Linked DNA regions of Caenorhabditis elegans. The protein of the gene in region 2 binds, or shares a complex with, the protein of the main gene of each other region. Each region holds a gene or a part of one and is shown on either strand. Other genes may lie near its edges.

Evidence for each region. The genes of interacting proteins can lie anywhere in the genome.
Region 1: sur-2 (region 2) and dpy-22 share a complex: the UniProt entries of both Caenorhabditis elegans proteins name them as parts of the mediator complex.
Region 3: sur-2 (region 2) and mdt-18 share a complex: the UniProt entries of both Caenorhabditis elegans proteins name them as parts of the mediator complex.

What each region holds. Positions count from the first base shown.
Region 1 is NC_003284.9:9,817,563-9,824,052, reverse strand, and holds the start of dpy-22 (Mediator of RNA polymerase II transcription subunit 12), read left to right. Parts: upstream 1-1,779; 5' UTR 1,780-1,882; coding exon 1,883-1,990; intron 1,991-2,162; coding exon 2,163-2,270; intron 2,271-2,319; coding exon 2,320-2,543; intron 2,544-2,628; coding exon 2,629-2,872; intron 2,873-2,917; coding exon 2,918-3,015; intron 3,016-3,081; coding exon 3,082-3,258; intron 3,259-3,302; coding exon 3,303-4,884; intron 4,885-4,948; coding exon 4,949-5,048; intron 5,049-5,100; coding exon 5,101-6,409; intron 6,410-6,459; coding exon 6,460-6,490. Other genes in the region: GTPase-activating protein rrc-1, read left to right, coding at 1-89. UniProt on the Caenorhabditis elegans protein: Component of the Mediator complex, a coactivator involved in regulated gene transcription of nearly all RNA polymerase II-dependent genes.
Region 2 is NC_003279.8:14,781,382-14,789,445, reverse strand, and holds the start of sur-2 (Mediator of RNA polymerase II transcription subunit 23), read left to right. Parts: upstream 1-1,642; 5' UTR 1,643-1,649; coding exon 1,650-1,760; intron 1,761-1,825; coding exon 1,826-2,019; intron 2,020-2,103; coding exon 2,104-2,485; intron 2,486-3,483; coding exon 3,484-3,747; intron 3,748-3,802; coding exon 3,803-3,975; intron 3,976-4,798; coding exon 4,799-5,066; intron 5,067-5,554; coding exon 5,555-5,675; intron 5,676-6,009; coding exon 6,010-6,383; intron 6,384-6,615; coding exon 6,616-7,108; intron 7,109-7,520; coding exon 7,521-7,734; intron 7,735-7,782; coding exon 7,783-7,894; intron 7,895-7,944; coding exon 7,945-8,064. Other genes in the region: F39B2.3 (15-oxoprostaglandin 13-reductase), read left to right, coding at 1-315, 399-481, 677-1,228. UniProt on the Caenorhabditis elegans protein: Component of the Mediator complex, a coactivator involved in regulated gene transcription of nearly all RNA polymerase II-dependent genes.
Region 3 is NC_003279.8:6,490,611-6,495,802, reverse strand, and holds mdt-18 (Mediator of RNA polymerase II transcription subunit 18), read left to right. Parts: upstream 1-1,955; 5' UTR 1,956-1,971; coding exon 1,972-2,016; exon of another isoform or gene 2,017-2,058; coding exon 2,059-2,133; intron 2,134-2,186; coding exon 2,187-2,302; intron 2,303-2,355; coding exon 2,356-2,420; intron 2,421-2,471; coding exon 2,472-2,758; intron 2,759-2,807; coding exon 2,808-2,918; 3' UTR 2,919-2,981; downstream 2,982-5,192. Other genes in the region: uri-1 (Unconventional prefoldin RPB5 interactor), read right to left, coding at 1-256, 314-1,159, 1,203-1,316, 1,442-1,474; dbr-1 (Lariat debranching enzyme), read left to right, coding at 3,077-3,250, 3,374-3,838, 3,885-4,034, 4,084-4,230, 4,305-4,568, 4,632-4,934. UniProt on the Caenorhabditis elegans protein: Component of the Mediator complex, a coactivator involved in the regulated transcription of nearly all RNA polymerase II-dependent genes.

The sequences.
Region 1 (6,490 bases), on a different chromosome or scaffold from region 2:
ATCAACGAGAACCGATAACTAACCTTTCTCCAGCTGCACAAATGCTCTTTTTCGAATCTTCTCGAGCCAGTCATTTGTTCTCTGCATAATTGAATTTCCACCTCTTTCATGATATTTTTGTTCATTGTATTGTTGACTACTTTTTCAACTTTATTTCTTTATCGTCTTAAATTTTTAAAGAACCAGTGTTCCATTTTTTCATTTCCTCATATTTTTCTTCTACTTCTCAATTGTCTTCAAGCAATTCCTGATCATTTTTATTTTGTTTCGTGTTTTTGATTATAAATTATTTATATACAAACACACAATTTTCAAACAATTGTGATGCGTGATAACATCGCTGAATTGTATTTTTGAAATTATAAAAGAAACGCGGAATACAAGACCTAATTACTAGAATTTACTGAATTTAAATAAACACTTTTTAGTGATTTATTTCGTTTTGAAAATTTTCCGCGATCCTGATTTGAAGAATTATAACAATTTCAATCAATTCTAATTTTTATTTTCAATATTTTGTTCAAAGTTCAAAACGATATTGTGGAGTTGTAAAAAAAATTAAAATATATATTCAAATATGCATTACATTGAAACATCAATCGGGGGATTTGCCCTATGACATTCTGAAATGAAGAAACTTAGAGTTTTTTTCTTCCGTTTTCATATAATTTTATCTGACATATGACATTTTCTCTCATCATTTGTCCTTTCTCATAAATTTAAATTTGCGAGAATGTGATTCTAACTGCAGACAATACCCAGATGTTGGAATTTTTTGCGCGTAAGGTCGTTTTTAGCTTAGTTTCAAAAAAACTTCGCTGGTTTTTTGTATAATATCAGTAAACTGCCTGAACATCCGAAACCATATTCTGAAACAACGCGCATTAAAGTTATTAAAATTGCACATATTCAAATAACAAATATTATCAGTTCATGCTGATCTGTAGGTGATATGCATACTACTTGATTTCCTTTTTTTTTTTTGGGTTCACCATCTTGGAATATTAGCTCATTCACAACTCCCAAAAAAGTCTACTTTCTTATCGTTCTGAAAGTTGAAGTTTTAACGTATTTACCATTTCTTACAACAATACAATTTTCCCTGCAATTAAACAAACGACTTATGAGTGGACCATTTTGAGAAAATAGCGAGACAGTTCCGATCGATGGGTCTGTGTGCCTTGCTGTGCAGCACTCTCCATCTCTGCGTCTCTCTCTTCCATCAGTGTATTTCTTGCTGTGTTCTGTGTTCTCAGGGGCCAATTCTCTATTTCTTTCCAACTGCCTGCTACTCGCCGTTTGTGCGTTTCTTCCTCGCTTCTCTGCGTCTTTTTTACAGCCATCTTTGAATGTCATCATCCGTACTGGGGTTGATGTGTTTCTTTACAATCGATGAAAGGTGCTTTATGAATACATCTCTGTCCACATGTTGAGTTTAATTTTTCACTTTTTTTAAAAGCTCACATTGTGTTTTTTTAACTAATTGGGAACCCACAAAATTTTGAATATTGGATTTTGAACACAATTTTAGAGTTGGAAAAGTGAACTAGACATGAATGATGATATTCCAAAAAAAAAACTTTTTAATACTTATTTTTTTCACAATATTTTCTAAATAAATAGAACCCACTTTCCTTTAAATTCTTATTCGTTCCTCCTTTCATTTTTCTGTCAGTTTTTATGTTGTTATCACTTAAAAACGTCGCCTGATTGTATTTTTTCTTTTTCTTAACATATTATCTTCAAAATTTGGGAAGTTATTGCAAATAAAAAAATTTTAGCAATCATTTCGTACCCATCGACGTCAGTGGTAGACGACGAGGACGACGTCTACCCCGAGGATGGCGTCGCCTCGTGGTTTGACGAGCAGCCCGGCGAACGTATGCTCCGGAAAACCAACCTTCGAATGGGAACTGCTGATGTGTATAAACAAAACAAGAATCAAGAAGAGGATATGTTGACAACGGAACGATTAAAGAAAGGATATCAGGTGAGTGTCGTGCCAGGGCGAGGAAAAAGATGCTCAAACAGAGTGCAATGTAACTATGGAGGTACTAGGGGATGATTAGCTTGGTGTGTGGCTAGATGTTTGATGAGCGTAAAAAGAAACAGAGAAAGCACACGTGAGGATATGAATTATACAACCCGAGTTTTGATTTTAGATGCCATTAACGCAATACGAGCTTCAATCATTGGTTTTCAACGCATCGGAAAATAAGCTAATTCGTCTGGAGAAAGCTCAAAAACGATCTCAGTCTATGATTGCTTCTGTGAGTCATTTTCAACAATTATATAAGTGAGTAAATATGTTAATTTCAGGTTATTCACAAAAAAGGAGAGTTCCACATGAATTATGACAGAGAACGTAAAATTCCAAAGGAACAACTTCCGTGTTTTGCACCACATAACTGGAAACGAATTTTGTCAGATCGAGTGAAATTCTTTTCGGCATTAGCTAGAGGAACTCCTCTTCAACAACTTTCACAAAGAATCCCTGGATTTAGAAGGAAAGAACTGCTCTTTTTGGAGTTTAGCGATTATAAGTGAGTTGTTTTTAAAATTCACAATTAAAACAAATGTGAATTATACTGTGCTAACTGAAGAATGTTCTAAAGTTGCCTATTTCAGCATAAGCTACGATCGGGCAATATGGTGTGTGAAACTTCTTTGTATCCTTGGTTTCAACTCTTCAAGCAAGACACAAAAGAAAACATTACTTGACGTTGCAACTCTAGAACTGAGCCAAGCATGCAACAAAACAACAATTTGGCTCGTAACCCAGCTTTACAAATCTTTTCGAAATCCCATAAAACGAAGAGAGGCTACTAAAACATGGAATTATTTGACTGGATTCATGAAGTATATGTTTGATGTAAGAGTTTTATTTTTAACAGAAATTTTATTAGTTTTGTTATAGGATGGTGTCCTTGATAAACAGGAGTTTCTCAACGATCTCACGGAAGTTTTCAATCAGTTGTTTTTGCAGAAAAACTTTAAGAACCCTTCAGTTTTAAGGTAAGCACTGCAAACTTTTCCAAATTAGATAACCCATGAACTGATATTGTATTAATAACATTTCAGCACATTCATGAAATATTATGTGTATTTTGTCGAAGATCTCAGCTCCAGTCTGGTGTTAGCTAGACGGTCCTCCACTCTGCTTTGCCAAGCACTTGGTTTTCTATTCGAAATGGCACAGGATAAAAGGAAAATTGATGCGTACTACGATTCTGCTAATAAAACTTTCATTAAGAAAGAGTAAGACTTAAATTTATGAGAGTTACAAAAAATCAAAAATTCAGATTTGAAAATGAAGATGGCGAAATTTACGAGTTTGAAGATTACGATGACTTCATTGATATGTTGGACGAGATTCCTGATGTACCCTACTTTGATGAGACTGACAAAACACCAGAAGCACAAGCTGAAGAACTTATCAAGCAGCATGAAAAACGAAAGGCAGGCTCACTCAAAAAGTCTGAAAGGAGGAGAAGAAGAGGATTGTCAAAAAATCGGCCAAAAAAAATGCCACAGAATCCTTCGAATGAAGCTTCTCTTGATCACGATAAAGTACAGATTAAACAAGAACCGATGGACTATGATGAGTATGGAGGTCAACAATCAGACAATTCTATGGATTATGACTCTTTCTCACATCAATATGATCCATCATATGAGCCTTTACCTTTCAAGCCACTTCACACAGATATTCCAAAAAAACTCACTGACGATGAGGAGTTCAAGTACATGAAGATAGGCAAGAGATCTGTCACTCCTGAACGTATTAGTGGTCGCTATGGTTCAATGACGTATCCTTTCTGGATTCAGCAGGGCGGAGTTGGAATTGATCCACCAAAAGATGAAGTACTGGATTTCTCCAATCCAACACCAACGGAAACTGTCAACACGCAGCCACAAATTGATTTTGAATCATCTCCCAGCGCTTCGCCAGCTCTTTCTGTCGATAAAGAAAATGAATGTGAAAAGAAAGAAGATGAATCTAAAACTAAGGAGAAGAACAAAGATAAGGAGAAAGACAAGGAAAAAGAAAAATCTGTTGATGAGCATACGAATGATCTGGATGTTCCGATAAATCCTGACGATGCTGAAATGGCTGATGCAAATGATAAAACCGATGCTTCTGAAAAACAAAAATTAGTTGAAGAAGAACCTACCGGCAAAGAAAATGAAGATGATACCAGTTCAAAAACGGCAAAGACGTCTACATCAGCAGAGAAATCCGAAGCTCCCTCCATTGTCGATTCTAATGACAAAATTGATAAGGAGCCAAATGCAAGTTCAACAAGTAACGATGAAACTTCTAAAGATGACACAGTTCCCATGGAATCAGATCCACCAGCTGCCACTGAAAAACCAAAAGAATCCACTGAAATTACCACCGAGGAACCACTGGAAGTCGACAAAGCGCCTGAAGTTGATAAGTCTGAGAAAGAACACGAAGATGATATTATGATCATTGAGTCCAACAAAAAAGCAGACGAGGATGACTGTGTTGTTATAGCTGTGGTGGATCCTGATCAGGAACAAACTCCGGAAAGTGAGAAGAAAAAAGATGGCGAAGAAGAAAGGGACAAAAACAAGGATACAGATGTGGCGGATAACGAACCCGAGAAAATTTATACCGACGAGGAACTCGCTGAAATCAAAATCCGCAAAGAGAAGGAAATGAAAATTGCAACTTTGGCTTCCCATATCAAAGAGAAAATGGTGTCAGACAAAAAATGGAAAGAGAAAACTAGCCACGCAGGATGGAGAACACTTGATCAATGCAGTCAGTTCAGTGAAGCGCTTCATTTGCTCTCAAGCATGGTGCAGTACATGGCATGTGTTACTCCAGAAAGCTTTGTTTGGAACGATCTTTCAGTAAGTTTTGAAAGCTTTTGCTGTAGCTATGTTCAGAGAACACAAATATGCTTTAAATTTTCAGGTTCAACAAGAAGAACGTCGACATAGAATCCTACCACAACTGTGCGGATCACCTTTGGATTATTTGCCATGTGAACTCCACAAACTACCAGTCATGGAAGGTTTGTTATATTTTATCAATTGCCAAAAACATGTGTATATTCAATTTTACAGGTGTAGAAGAAGTGGTGGATTGTCTTCGTTTACGCCATTGTGAAATCGTTCGAAGAAGTCAGGCTGCCGAAGACAGGTGGCTACCAAATGCTGCATTTCTGCAGAGCTTTGGTAGAATCATTGATACTTGTGTAGATGTGATTGGAATAATGGACAATATTGATGTTGAGAAACCAAACGCCATTACAAACGCTGGACTTCGACTTTTTGCATTCCGAGAAAAATTTGAAAAGCAGGAAGCTCTCTTGAAAACAATGCTCATGTTTAAATGGTGCATAACGGAGGAGCGTGAAGGATCATTCCGTGCGACTTACATCGCGAAACTTCTACGCTTTGGAATGGATCAAAATCCAGAGAACACCATTGGAGGTTGGCAGGTCATGGATCTTTTCTTCAAGTTTATGTCCACTGAAGGTCCCAAACACGGAAGCAAAATGTATCAAGCTCACTTTGATTCCACGGTTGCTATCATGATTGAGATGATGAGAGAAAAGATATTTTCCATTACTGATATTCTAAGAGAACTGGAAAAAGATTCGGATTTGGATTACAATGCTCCTTTGATGGAAAGACAACGAAAACAAAAAATCCCGAAAATTTCCAAGCGACATAGAAAACCAGAAACTCCAGATGACACCAAACTCGTACATTTCACCACAGAATACACACCGAAGAGATTGTTCATGGGAAAGAAAATGGATTTGTTGGAGCGTATGATCATTATTTTGCCACAATTAGATGTTGACGAGGATACTGACGAGTATCGATTGCGAAGACTGCTCCTGTTCGGATTGAAACCTGCTGCGAATGTATATTTCCGACGAGCTCGTGCTATTTACAAGAGCATTACGAAGGAATTCACAACTCGGTTATACATTGAATTTGATCGATCTTCCAAAGTCACCACCGCTCATAAAAAGATTAATCAGAACCGCCTAGACGATCTTTTGAGACAATTCCGAGCACAAACCTATCATGACCAACATCTGATTTTGGAACGTATTGTCTATAATTTCATCGACGGGATTGGTGGATTTTTGAAAAAGAACTGTGACGATGTTCCAGCTCCAGAAGTGGCCAATATTATTTGCGAAATGTACGAGTTCAGCATGGATATCACGTCAATTTTCGACTTCTTTGAAATGGTGAATCCGTATTTGAAGGCAGTTGACGACAAGATTGCTCATTTCCGAATGGATGTTCTTCCAGACATGTATTACACAGAAACGGCATTTATTTTTGTCTCATTTTTTATGAAACACTGGCAAAGATTCCTTTTGCATCCGCGAGCATGTGCAATTGTCAATCAGTGAGTTTCAATTTGATTTCAAATATTTAAAATTCATTAATACGTTTCAGGTGTTTTGTGCTAATCCAAGACATGATTCGA
Region 2 (8,064 bases):
CTGTAGTCCGACGATTCGGAGCACCTGATGTCATAGAAGCCGTCGAGAGTGATATGCCCAGGCTTGAAAAAAACCAGGTTCTCGTTCGGAATTACGCTGCCGGTGTCAATCCAGTTGACACATATATTCGTGCTGGTCAGTATGGAAAACTACCAAATCTTCCATATGTACCAGGAAAAGATGGAGCCGGATTCGTCGAACTTGTGGGAGAAAGCGTTAAAAATGTGAAAGTCGGCGATCGAGTCTGGTATGGATCAGAAGCGGACAGTACAGCAGAGTATGTTGCGGTGAATCGACCATTCGAGTTGCCGGAAGGTAAAAGAATCATTGCGCAACGGGTTACTGTAGCTAGTTGCCCGCGTGGCGAGACCTAAGATATAGCTAAAATCTCATTTCAGGAGTTTCGTTTGAGGAAGGAGCTTCTCTCGGAGTGCCTTATCTTACCGCTTATCGTGCATTGTTTCATCTTGCTGGTGCAAAGGTTTGACTTTTATTTATTATTAAATGGTTCATAGAGAATATTAAAATTTTGGCAAAAACGTATCAAAATTAGGAGGCAAAATCAATACAAATCAATCTTTACAAAGCCAACTTGACCATCTGTTCCATCTCAAACAAGGGGCGGTCTAAAATACGACCATCTGCTGTTCCCTCCCAAAACTAATTCTCTTCTCAGACTGGCGACGTTATACTTGTACACGGAGCATCTGGTGGAGTGGGAAGTGCACTGATGCAGCTGGCTGCCTGGAGGAACATTGAAGCTGTTGGCACTGCTGGATCTGCTGATGGGATCCGGTTCGTGAAGAGTCTTGGTGCACGGAATGTCTATAATCATTCGGATAAGCAATATGTGTCGAAAATGAAAAATGATTATCCAGGAGGCTTCAACCACATTTTCGAAATGGCTGCTCACACAAATCTGAACACGGACCTCGGATTGCTGGCTCCACGTGGTAGAGTTGCAGTAATTGGAAATCGCGCCGAGACCACGATCAACGCAAGACAACTTATGGTTACAGAAGGAGCTGTTTACGGTGTAGCATTGGGAATGTCTTCCGAGGCTGAGCTCTTGGACTTTGGCATCAACATTGTCTCATTCTTGAAGGAAACCGAGTTTCGTCCACTTATAAACAAATTGTATCGTCTCGAGCAATTAGGACTGGCTCATGAGGAAATTATGAACAACAAGGGAGCGAAAGGAAATCTTGTAGTGCAAATCGAACATTAATTCATTATTTTAACACGCCATTTAAAGGAATGTAAATGAGAATAAACTGTACTTTTTATGAAGATATGAAAAAAATAAATTAATCTAGATTTCAGCTTCTTGAAACTGATTTTCAACAGAAATTTGGCAAATCAGTCCAAATGTCAGTTTACCTACAATAAAAGTCAAGATATTTAAATGTGTGAAATGTATTATATATGTAGTAGTTTTTTCGCAGAACTCTGGTAGAGTTCAAATCCGCAGAATATGCGTGAACGAAGAGACCACACACCAAGCGCGCTCTATTGTCACGCGTGAGAGAGAAGAGGCGCAGTAATATCTTTCTCAAACAATGCGTTTTTAATTTTTATCAACCTATTTTGTTTCAATTTATTATTTTAACATTTTTCTTTTGAAAATTATTACATTTTCAGGCAACAAAATGACGGATAAACCTGGTTCCGCAGAAGATACAATTGAAATGGATGACACGTGCTCTCCGCAATTTGTTCAGGAAGTCAATCGAATAAAGAGTCAAATTAAAAGTCTCGTTGTGAGTTTTTTAAATCAAAAATAACGCTTAAAAAATTAAACATAACTCATAAAAATATATTCTAGGAAGAAAACCACACAAGAAAATTTTTTCGACCTCTTACGTCGAATATTGGCGACGAGACGGCGATTTTACGGATTCAATTCAATAATATGATGAGTAAAATGGAAGAAAAAGAAAAACAATCTTTAGTGAAAGAGCTAATAAAAATGGTTCATCACGTGGCGGAAAAGAACTCTCCTGATCGAGTTTTTGTTGGGTGAGAATTTAAAAATTCGAAAAAAAAACAATTTTAACAGTTCTTTTGCATATAATCAGAGGTTTTAACAGTGTTTTATTCCAGAACAAACTACGAACGTGTCGTAGATCAGCTTCTCCGATATGCTCATCAAAAAGGTGCGATTTCAACGAATCTGTGCGCAGAAGGACTCATAATGACTTCGGACTTCCGATTATGCAGTAGAATATGCCAAGAAAAATGGAAATTCATCAATGATTGCATTCCAAAAATCGATTACAAAGGAATTCGGAATATCCTCCGATATATTCTGGAATCACAGCTCCGTCGCCTACCGTATTCACTATCTCCGGAGCAAGTAAACGAAATCCGCATTGTTGAGAATGTAATACTGCATATTGTGGATAGAGACTCCAATTTGATGCCTCCACTCATCACATTATCAGAAATTATGAGAGGAATGCCGAAACAGGCGCTTATGCTGCCGGTGAGGGGAAAATTTTAAAAAAAATTGCTGAAAATATAAAGACAATGTAAAAATTTAGATTTGTTAATTTTTTTTTTCGGCAAAAAAAACACAAAAAAAAGATCTCTCTACATTCAAAAAGTCGAATTTTTTTTTGGCGGAAACCAAAAAAAAGTTCGACCATTCTCGCAAAGTTTCTAATTTCTGTGCATTTAGTTTTTGAGTTACAGAAAGTAAACCAAATTGAATACTACAGAAGTTTTAAAAAACTTAATTTAAGCCATAAAAAAATGACGGGAAATTTCTTCTGATTTCTAAATTTTCAGTTTCTCAACATTTTATTTGAAGTTTTTACCAAGGGTGGGCGGCAATTACCGTTCGGCAAATCGGGCAATTTGCTGGTTTACCGATTTGCCGTTTACCGGATGTTAAATTTTCCGCAAATGTTTTGAGGGATTTTTTCATAAGACTGAAACACTTAAAACTGTGACTTTTTGGGCTGTTTTTCCCTTTTCCTCAGATATTTTTATAGAATTTGCTTACTTTTCAAAAAAGATGTAGAAAAAAACATTCAAACACTCACAGGATGCGTACAATTCTGAAATTCCCAAAAAATTAGTGCGAAACCACAATTTGCCAAAAATTTTCGACAATTGGTATTTTTCCGGTAAATTCGGAAATTTGCCGGTTTCACGATTTGCCGGAAATTTCAATTCCGGCACTTTGCCGATTTGCCGAAAAAATCGTTTGCCACACACCCCTGATTTGTATGCTGATTGACTGAAAAATCACCTTCATCGACGAAAAATTATCTGAATGTACAAAACCACAATTTGCCGAAAAATTTCGGCAATTTGCTGATTTTCCGGCAATCTGCTGATTTGCCGGAAATTTCAATTCCGGCAATTGTGGATTTTTTTTGCAAAAAGCGGCTCGAGATGAGTCACGGATCGACCCATCTCGATTCATTTACCAAGCCTATATTTCTTAAGATTAAATTAAAATGCCAAATATTACAGAGACTAACGGAGAAACTGGCAAGCTTATCCGTCCATTTCCGACCAATTGCCGACCTATCCCACGTGTGTGGCCGTGGATTCGTTTACCCCATTCCACTACATCCATCATTCTATCCATTAACATCGTGTTGGGAAGAACATGGATTAAATGCCAGTAATACAATTGTTCAACCTCATCATACACTTCCATATCGTCCTGAACATACTTCTACATACTTGTACACCCTCTACATGATTCTTCGTCAGCCATTGGGAAAGGACTCGGTATGAAATTGAGAATATATATATTTTAAATAACTTATCCCGAATTAAGTTTCAGCTTCATCCTCCGAGCAAAACGAAGACAAAGACAAATTGGGAAATGTTGATATCTGTAATGATATGTGAATCAATGGCCGAAGCAGAATCTCTACCGGAAACTGAGCCAATTCCACGATATCAATGGGACAATATTGTTAATATTGTTATTTATGGGATTACACAACATTTATTGTTAGTGTATTTCAAATTTTTCGATTTTGCGAAACCCGAAAAACAAAAATATTCCTTTTTTCAATTATTTTTCGCAAATTCAGAAAAAAAATCCAATTTTTTACTTTTAAAGTAAAATTCTAAAAAATCCGAACATTTCGATTTCCGACATTCAGGAAAGCTAAATTTTTGGGTTTTTCAAAGAGAAAATCGAAAAAAAAAAGATTCTATTTGAAAAACACAAGTTTTGAATTTCAAAATTGTCTTGAAAAGCCAGAAATTTGAAAGTAGAGCTAATAATTTAATTTAAAAACTAAGCGTTTCAATTTTTGGTTTATTTCTGAAGGAAAAAAAAATCCAAAATCAAAATTCTTAGGATAAAAGCTATAATTTAAACAAAATCTTTTGAAAATTCTTCAAAAATCTGAATGTTCTTGACTTTTAGACCTTCAAAAAAAAATCGAAAAACCAAAATATTTCTTTTTTTCAATTATTCTTAGAAAATTCCAGAAAAATCCAATTTTTCACTTCTTAAATAAAATTTCGAAAAAAAATACCGAAACTTAAGATTTTCTTGAAATGTTTTTAAAAAAAAATTTACCAAAAAACAAAACTTTAGATTTCCGACATTTAGAAAAATTGAAAACCAAAATCTTTAATTTTTCTTGTAACTTTTTCTTTTAAAAAATCCAAAAAGAGAAGTTTTGGATAATAGATATTCTCGAAAATCTGGAAAAATTATTTTTTAAGTCTAAAATCTATCGAAATTTTGAGTTTTTGTTCCCTAAAAGCTAATGTTTTCGATATTGAGACCTTAGAAAAAACCGAAAAATAGCATTTTCAGAGTCCCAAAAACATTCTTCAATGTTCTCAAAAATTTGATAAAACGATGCAAGTACACACGGGCTCGCGACGAAGTTATGTGGATCGTTTTTCAAGTTGTCGGCTCTCTGTCTAATTTAACACGACTCGATGATGCGGTGACTGAAATTGTTGAGCTGTACAATGAGCTGTTTGATGGAGATGTTGTTTGGATGGGTGCATCGGATCATCCCGCGTTGTTTGCAAGGTTTCTTGCTGCAGCTGGTACTTGGATGATTTTGGAGAAAGATGTCAGTAGTAGTCTTTTTTGTTGGAAAATTCTAAAAAAGAGAGTCTGCAATCCAGAAAAACTACAAAAAATTGATGCAGCTTTTCAAATTTTTCAATACATTTTTTCACAACTTTTGAGGTCGGTAAAATGGCTCCAAATATGAATTTTTGCAGTTTTTAAAAATGATGTTATGTTCAGGGGCCGGCAAAAATCTAGCATTTTTTTTTGAAAATTTAGAAAATTTTTTTAAAAAAAGATTCTGAATGTTTGCCGGCCCCTGAACATCCTAAAAATCTGCAAAAATTTACATTTGGAGCCATTTTACGGATCCCAAAAGTTGTGAAAAATTGCACTGAAAATTTTTCATAGCGACTTGAAATACTTTCCTTTTAAATTAAAAATTATGGCTTTCAAACATTTTTTTTTCTTTTTTTTTGTCTTGTATTTCTAAATTTTAGACTGTTTTAGGGATTTTACAGTTTTTTTTTTGAATTCTGAAACTTTCAGTTCGCCGACAAAATGCCACCGGCCAATGAGACAATTAAATCGCATATCAAGTTTATTCAAGACGGTGTTGATAATTTCGATTCAAGCAACACTGCAATGTTGGCGGTTCTGTCGAATATTTGTAGGTTGTTTTATTATTCAAGCATTGCAAAAATCGCAAATTCAACAAAAAACCATAAAAAGTTCCTTCCAATTTTTTCTGAAAAAATCTATAAAAAAGAGGAATTTTCCTTTTTTTCTCCATTGTTTCAGGTAAAAAATCGGAACAAATTTCATTTTAAAATTCTCTCCAATAAACACCGAAAAATCGAGAATGGTCGGTTTTCAAACTGAAAAACACCGAAAAATGTTTTTAAAAAGTTGCTTCTTCAAATCTTTTCCGAAAGAATAATAAAATATATACTAGAAAAAAAATATTTACTAGAAAAAATAATCAAATCTAACCCGCAAAAAAGTTCTAGATCGAACGGATACAAAAATGGGAAAACTGATCGTTCCAACACTTCAACAAATGCTCGAATCAATTGATGACACTAAATCGCTATTTGAACTATCCTACAAAAGAATGGCTGTCAACTGTTTCTCAGCATTTCCAGTAGAATTCATGGAAGCATTGACGTTCCGATCGAAGAAAACTCTGTTAATTCAATGTTTCCAACCACTTCGTTCATTTTCAACAGTTCGTCTTCCAAGCCCTGCGGTATTTGAAACTGTAGCGAAGATTTGTGAATCAGAAGATTATGAGATGGCTGTAAAGGATATGGAACATTTAGCACAAAGATCTCTTCACGTGGCAACTGCTGCAGATAGATCATCTGGTGAACATCAGGTTAGATTTTGAAAAAAAGTCTTATAGTATGTATAATTGAAAAAAATTAGCATTGTCGAAGAATTTATTCCTGACAGTAAAATTTAATGCAAATTTCGATATACATATGAAATGCATATACGAAAATCATACTTTGCTTTTATTTATAAATTTTATAAATTTTTTGAACACTTTAAATTTTAATTTGGTCAAAAAATTCCAGGCATATGAATAAAAATAATAATATTCTCAGAACGTCCAAGCAAAAGATCAATGTTACTTCCTATTCGATTTTCTCGTCTACCGACTTCCCCACCTACATGCCTATTCAAAATATTCATCAACAGTGAATGCACTATCATACTTCACTCAACACATTCCGAATAATCCACAAAACCATCAAATCTACCGTCTCATGGAGCAATTTCTAATGCGAAGATGGTGCTGGGCAGGATTTCACGGATGTATTACGGCACACACTCAGATGTTCGGAACGAGTTATAAGGATAATACAATGATGAGACATATGGCCTATCCGAAGACGTTCTCTGTGCCCGATCAATATCCATTTGCGATTAATCCGGAGATTTTTAAAATGGCGATTTATAGTTTCTTGAGAGCTGTTAAGATTACGGCACAAGACATTGCTATCGAGAAGACTATGTTTCCAACTATTATTAATGGATTCGGATGGCCTGAAAAATCAACATCATACTTTCCAAAGTGGGCACTAGATGCAATTAAAGGTAATTTTATTGCTAATAGTAAATATCATCATTTTCTAAATTTGAACTGCAAAAACAAAATTTTTTTGTATTTTTTGCACCGATAAATCGAAAAAATTCAAAAAAAAGTTTCATTTTTAAGAGTAAATCAATAAAAATCGGAAAAATAAAAAATAAAAAATTTTATAGCTATTCCAAAAAATTGTAGATTTTGATTTAAAAAAATTAATTGGCGAGAATTATTTAAATCTGATTTTTTTTCCAACAAAAAATTTTGCAATTTTCCTTTTATTTGAAAAATATATCACCATAGCAATATAAAATGTTTTTAAATTTATAGACATCAAATTACTTGGGGTTTTCTGACAAATCGACAACTTTTTTATAGAAATAACTACACATCCTGAAACCTAGTAATAATACCTATTTGCAGCCTCGGACACCTCGAACGCAGTGAACACTGAGGAAATTCTATCAGATGTCCGTAACACGGCACGAATGCACACATCATTAACACCAAATCAATTTGTGATCAGATATGGCGAGGATAGAGATCCGGCGACATCTCATTGTATGCTGGCTGTTTTATTTCATTTTGCATATAATTCGGTTGATTCTACGTATAATATCACTTCAGAGTTTTATGAGTGAGTTTTAAACACAGGTTCTTGGAGGTTAAATTGAAAAATTTTCAGAGTAATGGAAAAGAAGACACCAAAAGAAATTGTTGTAATGGGAAACTATCTGGTCGATTATATAATTGCTGATGCAAAAACTCAAGATTGCAACGAGAAGACTTTTAAGAATGTCCGAATTTTTGAATTATTTTAATCAGACTTAAAACAATAAGTTTTCAGATAGCAAAAGCCGCTGCCCTCTTGGTATTCCAGTTCCAAGTTCTGCGTGCTGACCGACTTCTACTCTCACTAATAATGCATCCAGCTACAGATGAGGATGCGTTGATATGTATTCAAATC
Region 3 (5,192 bases), 8.3 Mb from region 2:
ACGGATTCTTCTCAACAATTTCTCCTGGAAATGTCATTGTGCTCATCGCAGCAAGTTCCTTTTGCTCGGGTTCGAGAGCTGAACGATCAACGGGTGTTGGTTCAGTGCTCCGGAGAATTGATTTGGTTTCAATAACTGAATCTTCTTCCTTGATTTCGACAGTGTCTGTTTGATGGAATGTTTTCACATTTTCAAGCTGTTGCGCAAATCGAACTCCCGATTTTTTCCGTTTGACGGTGGTTTTTGTTACGGTTTCCTAAAAATTGTGTGTTAAAATAATAGTGAATTGTTTCTATTTAGTATTTGAAATTACCTCAACAATTTCTTCGACCTTAATCACTTGGGTCTCTATCTTTTTGGATTTCAGTTGTTGGTCAGAATTATTGCTTTTCTCGATATTATCATCAGATGCATAATCATCAGAGTCGAGTTCTTCTACACTATTGTTAAGATTCTCTTCATCATCGTCTCCTTCCTCTTCATCTTCATCATACTCCTCATCGGAACTCTCTTCATCACAAGTGTCTAAGAAATCTAACAGCCGTTCCATTTCCTTCTGTGTTACTCCAGGTTGTGCCAGCAAACGTTCATTCATTCCAAATCTTAGTTTTTTATCAGTTGGATCTTGTTCAACTTCCTCAACTTCCTCTAATTTACCCAAATCCTGTAAATCTTCGTTTGAAACTTCAAAAGGTTTCGGAATTGGAGCTTCTTCCATCTCATCATTGTCTTGTTCCAGTTTCTCTAGTTCTTCCAAACGGTTCATCACATCGTTGTGATCTTGGTCACCATTCAATTTGTTCTTTTCTATTATCTTCTCGTTCTGTTCATCATTTTGAGACATCTTTTTGTTTTTGCGATTTTGATAAAACAGTTTTTCCATCTCTTCATCGTATTTCTCGACAATTTCGATAGGTCCTCCATCAATCGAAACAGATGAGAAATTATCTTGAGCAAACTTTATTTTGTCATCCAACATTCGAATTGAATCGAGACCTTCCTCACGCTGCCTTCTCATTTCAGAAACTCTCCGATCCAAGATCTTTTCAGCTGTATGAATGCTGCATTCTCCGTAATAGTTTGCACCCATTTCCATCGTAACTTGATTCGTGCGAACTACATGGGCACCGCAGAAATAACCGACTTCGCAAATTTTCGCCTAAAAATTAGAATAAGATTATATGAGAGAGAATGTAATTTACCAAAATAGGAGCTTCCAACTTTTTCGAATATTCCTTTGCTCGTTCCAGAACTTTTTCATAGTTATCAGCAATGATTCTTCGACATTCGGTCTCAACTTCGAGCCGAGCTTTAGCCTGAAAAATTAAATTCATACAGACTTAATTATTTTTATACTATTTTAGGGAAACAAACTCGGAATTTAAAAACGAATTATTTTTGTCTTGTCGTTCATAATCATGTAAAAGGATTTTTAATTTACCGCATTGCATTCTGCAACGTAGAGTTCGCTCATTTTTTCAGATAGGTCTTCTTCACTCGTCACAGTCATTTTCTGCAAATCTTAGAGAGGTAATTCGGAGCGGAAAATGGGAAAAAATGTTAAAAAGTAACAATTTCCGAAAGCGCAATTTAAAAAAGTACAAAAAAGTACAAACTTTTATGGAGACACTACTGATTTCTGGAATCTGTTAAATCTTAGAAATGAACTCTTTCAGAATTTCAAACTTCTTTTTTTATATGCGTAAAACTTATCGCATATATTTTATGCAATATTGAAAGTAAGTAGAGTTTTAACCATTAAAGTAACTGAAACCAGAGTTTTATCGTAAAAATGGTAAAATATTCGGGAGTGTTGGTTTCCCTGGAAATGAGTCACGTAGAGTGTGAGTCCGCAAACACCAGCTGTGAATTGCGTAGAATACATTTAATATCACGCTCAAATAGTTTTGAATTAATTTAATTTTTTAAAAACATTTTTTATTCTGTTTATTTAGTTGATTCATTCAAAATATGGACAATTTAGTGGATATTGATGAAGATGGAACACAAGAAAAGGTATTTCGATTGTTAAAATCCATCTAAAACATTTTAATTCAGCTTTCTGTGAATTCAACTCCCTATCAAACACAAGAATGCGTTCTTTATGGATCTATTTTCGCAAAAAATGTCCCAGTTAGTTTTTAAAGTAATTGGACTAAATTCTAATACAAAAGTTTCAACTTTAGGACTTGGAACGACGTTTAGCCGGCCTTTGTGATCCGGGATGTGAGGAATTCTTCGAGCATGAGATGTCATTCAGCCTACGATCTTCGGGTATAATGGATATCAAAACCGATATTAAGTAAGCTTTTTTGTTTATCTATTTAAATATTTGCATGTATTTGATTTTTGAAGATTGCGAAGAAGATTCCGAACAGAACATCGAATTCAAAATTATTGGCAATTAAAGTACATTGGAGGTCGGTTTTAACCTTATAATTCGTATTTTATAATTTTTTGTTTTATTTCAGTTCCGGAACCAGATCAAAAATGCCCAACTATTGTTCGAAAAGAAATCAGTTCACTTGTCCATTCTCAGGATATGATGACGTATGCGAAATCCTTGGGTCTCCGCATGGACTATGAATATATGACACAAGGAAAATTGTGGACAAAAGGAAATATAAAGATTCTGCACTCAATATTGACTAGTACTTCTCGCGCAGGAACATATGATTCAAATTCAATCAAATCTGTTTCTGATTCTGCGTTAGTGGAAATCAGTATCTCATTGCCCGAGTCTGCAGAATACATGCCGGTAGGTTTTTTAGTAATAATTTCGAATTTATTTTTTCAACTCATTTTAGGCTGCCAAGTCTCTTCGTGATTTTGCCGATCAGCTGATGCCACTTGTTAATATGGAAAAAGTCGATTACTGGAAGAAAATGTTCCCAGCTCAAGCAGCTCCTCGTCGTTAATCTTCATTAATTGATTGATCTCACTTTGATACGTTATTTAATTTATAAAATTCACGAAGTATTCAATAATGTTAATATCCCACAAAGCTTCAATGGTTTATACCTTTTATTTTCTGATATCAACATTAAACATTTTTTTACTCCAATGAAAATTTAGAATGTCATCGAAAAATCCAGTAGATGAGCAACCTTGCTGTGGCTCCCATGAAGGTTCGCATCAAGATCCTGCTCCGGAGACGTTAGTAGTTGAAAAAGAAGTTAACAATGGGGAAAAGAAAATACGAATTGCTGTTGTCGGATGCTCTCACGGAGAAATGGATGCTATTTATGAGGTAAAATTTAAAAAAAAATCATATTTTTCGAACAAAATTAATGGCATATTTCAGATCTATTTTCTCTATTAGATTGTTTTAATTGCTATTTAAAATTACAACTATTTAAAAAAAATATTTCAGACAATGACACTAATCGAACAGAAAAATGGCTACAAATTCGATTTGCTGATCTGTTGTGGCGATTATCAAGCTGTCCGAAACTACGGCGACCTTCCACATATGAGTATTCCACCAAAGTACAGAAGTCTTCAAACATTCTATAAATACTATTCTGGAGAACAAAAAGCACCAGTTCTAACTCTATTCATCGGCGGAAACCATGAAGCATCTGGTTATCTATGTGAATTGCCTAATGGAGGATGGGTGGCGCCGAATATTTATTACATGGGATTCGCAAATTGCATTCGATTTGCTAACCTTCGTATCGCAGGACTCTCTGGAATTTTCTCGCAAGGAGATTTTCAATTTTCGCATTACGAACGCCCTTCGTTTTCGGAAAGAGATGTTAAAAGCGCATATCACGTTCGAAACGTTGATATGTTCCGGTTAAGACAATTGAAATCTGATAATGAAAATAAGATATCGGTATAAGCTTGAAAATTACTTTTTTATGAACATTTTCCTATTTTAGAACCCAATTGACATAATGCTCTCACACGATTGGCCTGGAGGTATTCCTGATTTTGGTGATAAGGAATGGCTTTTCCGGAAAAAGGATTTATTTGAAGCAGATCACAATAGTGGCAAACTGGGGAATCCTTCTGGAATGAAACTGATTTATGTATGTTTTTTGGTGATATTTGCAAAATTACTGTATGTATGTATTTTAGGATTGCCGGCCCAGATACTATCTTGCTGCACATCTTCATATTGCTTTTGCGGCCCTTGTTCCTCATAAAGGTTCAGGATCAGGCCGTCCACAGCCTACACGATTCTTATCACTGGATAAACCGATTCCTGGGAGAAAGTTTATGCAGGCAAGTCGTCACGTTCACTTTTTAAACTTCAACATTCAATATTATACAATCGAATAAATTTTTTCATTTTTCAGGCTCTCGAGTTGAATGTTGCAGACGATGCTAAACTGGAACTGTCATATGATCCACAATGGTTGGCTATTCTGAGAAATACAGATTTATTAACAACTGGAACAAAAGAACAGCTGATACTTCCCGATATGGCATCAAATCGTCCATGTGTCTACGAAAGAAAAGATTTTCGACCAACAGCAGAGGAGTTAAAAGAAATCGAAAAACTCGGAGATTTAACAATCAGAACTGACAGTTTCCAACAAACTGCGCCTCCGTTAAAAGAGGTAAGTGTCATCTCAGAATTTCGTGGATCTCTTAAGGATAGTAATTAAAACAACTGTTTACAGATTACGGAATCATCCAAAAATGTGCCACCAAGCGCCTACTACCGTAATCCACAATCTGCCGAGTTTTGTCAGTGGCTTGGTATTCGGGATCTTAATCAGATGCTCGTTGAAAAAACATCTGAACACGTTGGAACTCCGTACTACATGATGACTCAAGACGATGCGAACGCTAAACCAAATCAAGATGACGTGGATTTTGGTGACGAAGATTTTGTAATCGACAGAGGGCACACCTCCGATGAGCCAGAAGCGAAAAAAAGTAGATTGGACGAAGATAAGTTTGAAGCAGTACCATCCGAATGATGTTGAATACTTTACAACGTAGTTTCTAATTGAAGACCACATTGCCAAATATTTATTTTTTTGACATCAAGATATTGCCGTTTGTTGTTGTATACTCTATGTTAACATCTCAAAAAAACTTTAAATTGCCAAAAAAATAAAGCACCTCTCATGTTCACGTTTTCTCACAAACAAATATAGACTATGAAAATGCAGGGAGACTCCCAAATAAAAAAAAGCGGAAGAAGCAAGTCGATGCATTTACAATGGATGCTCTTT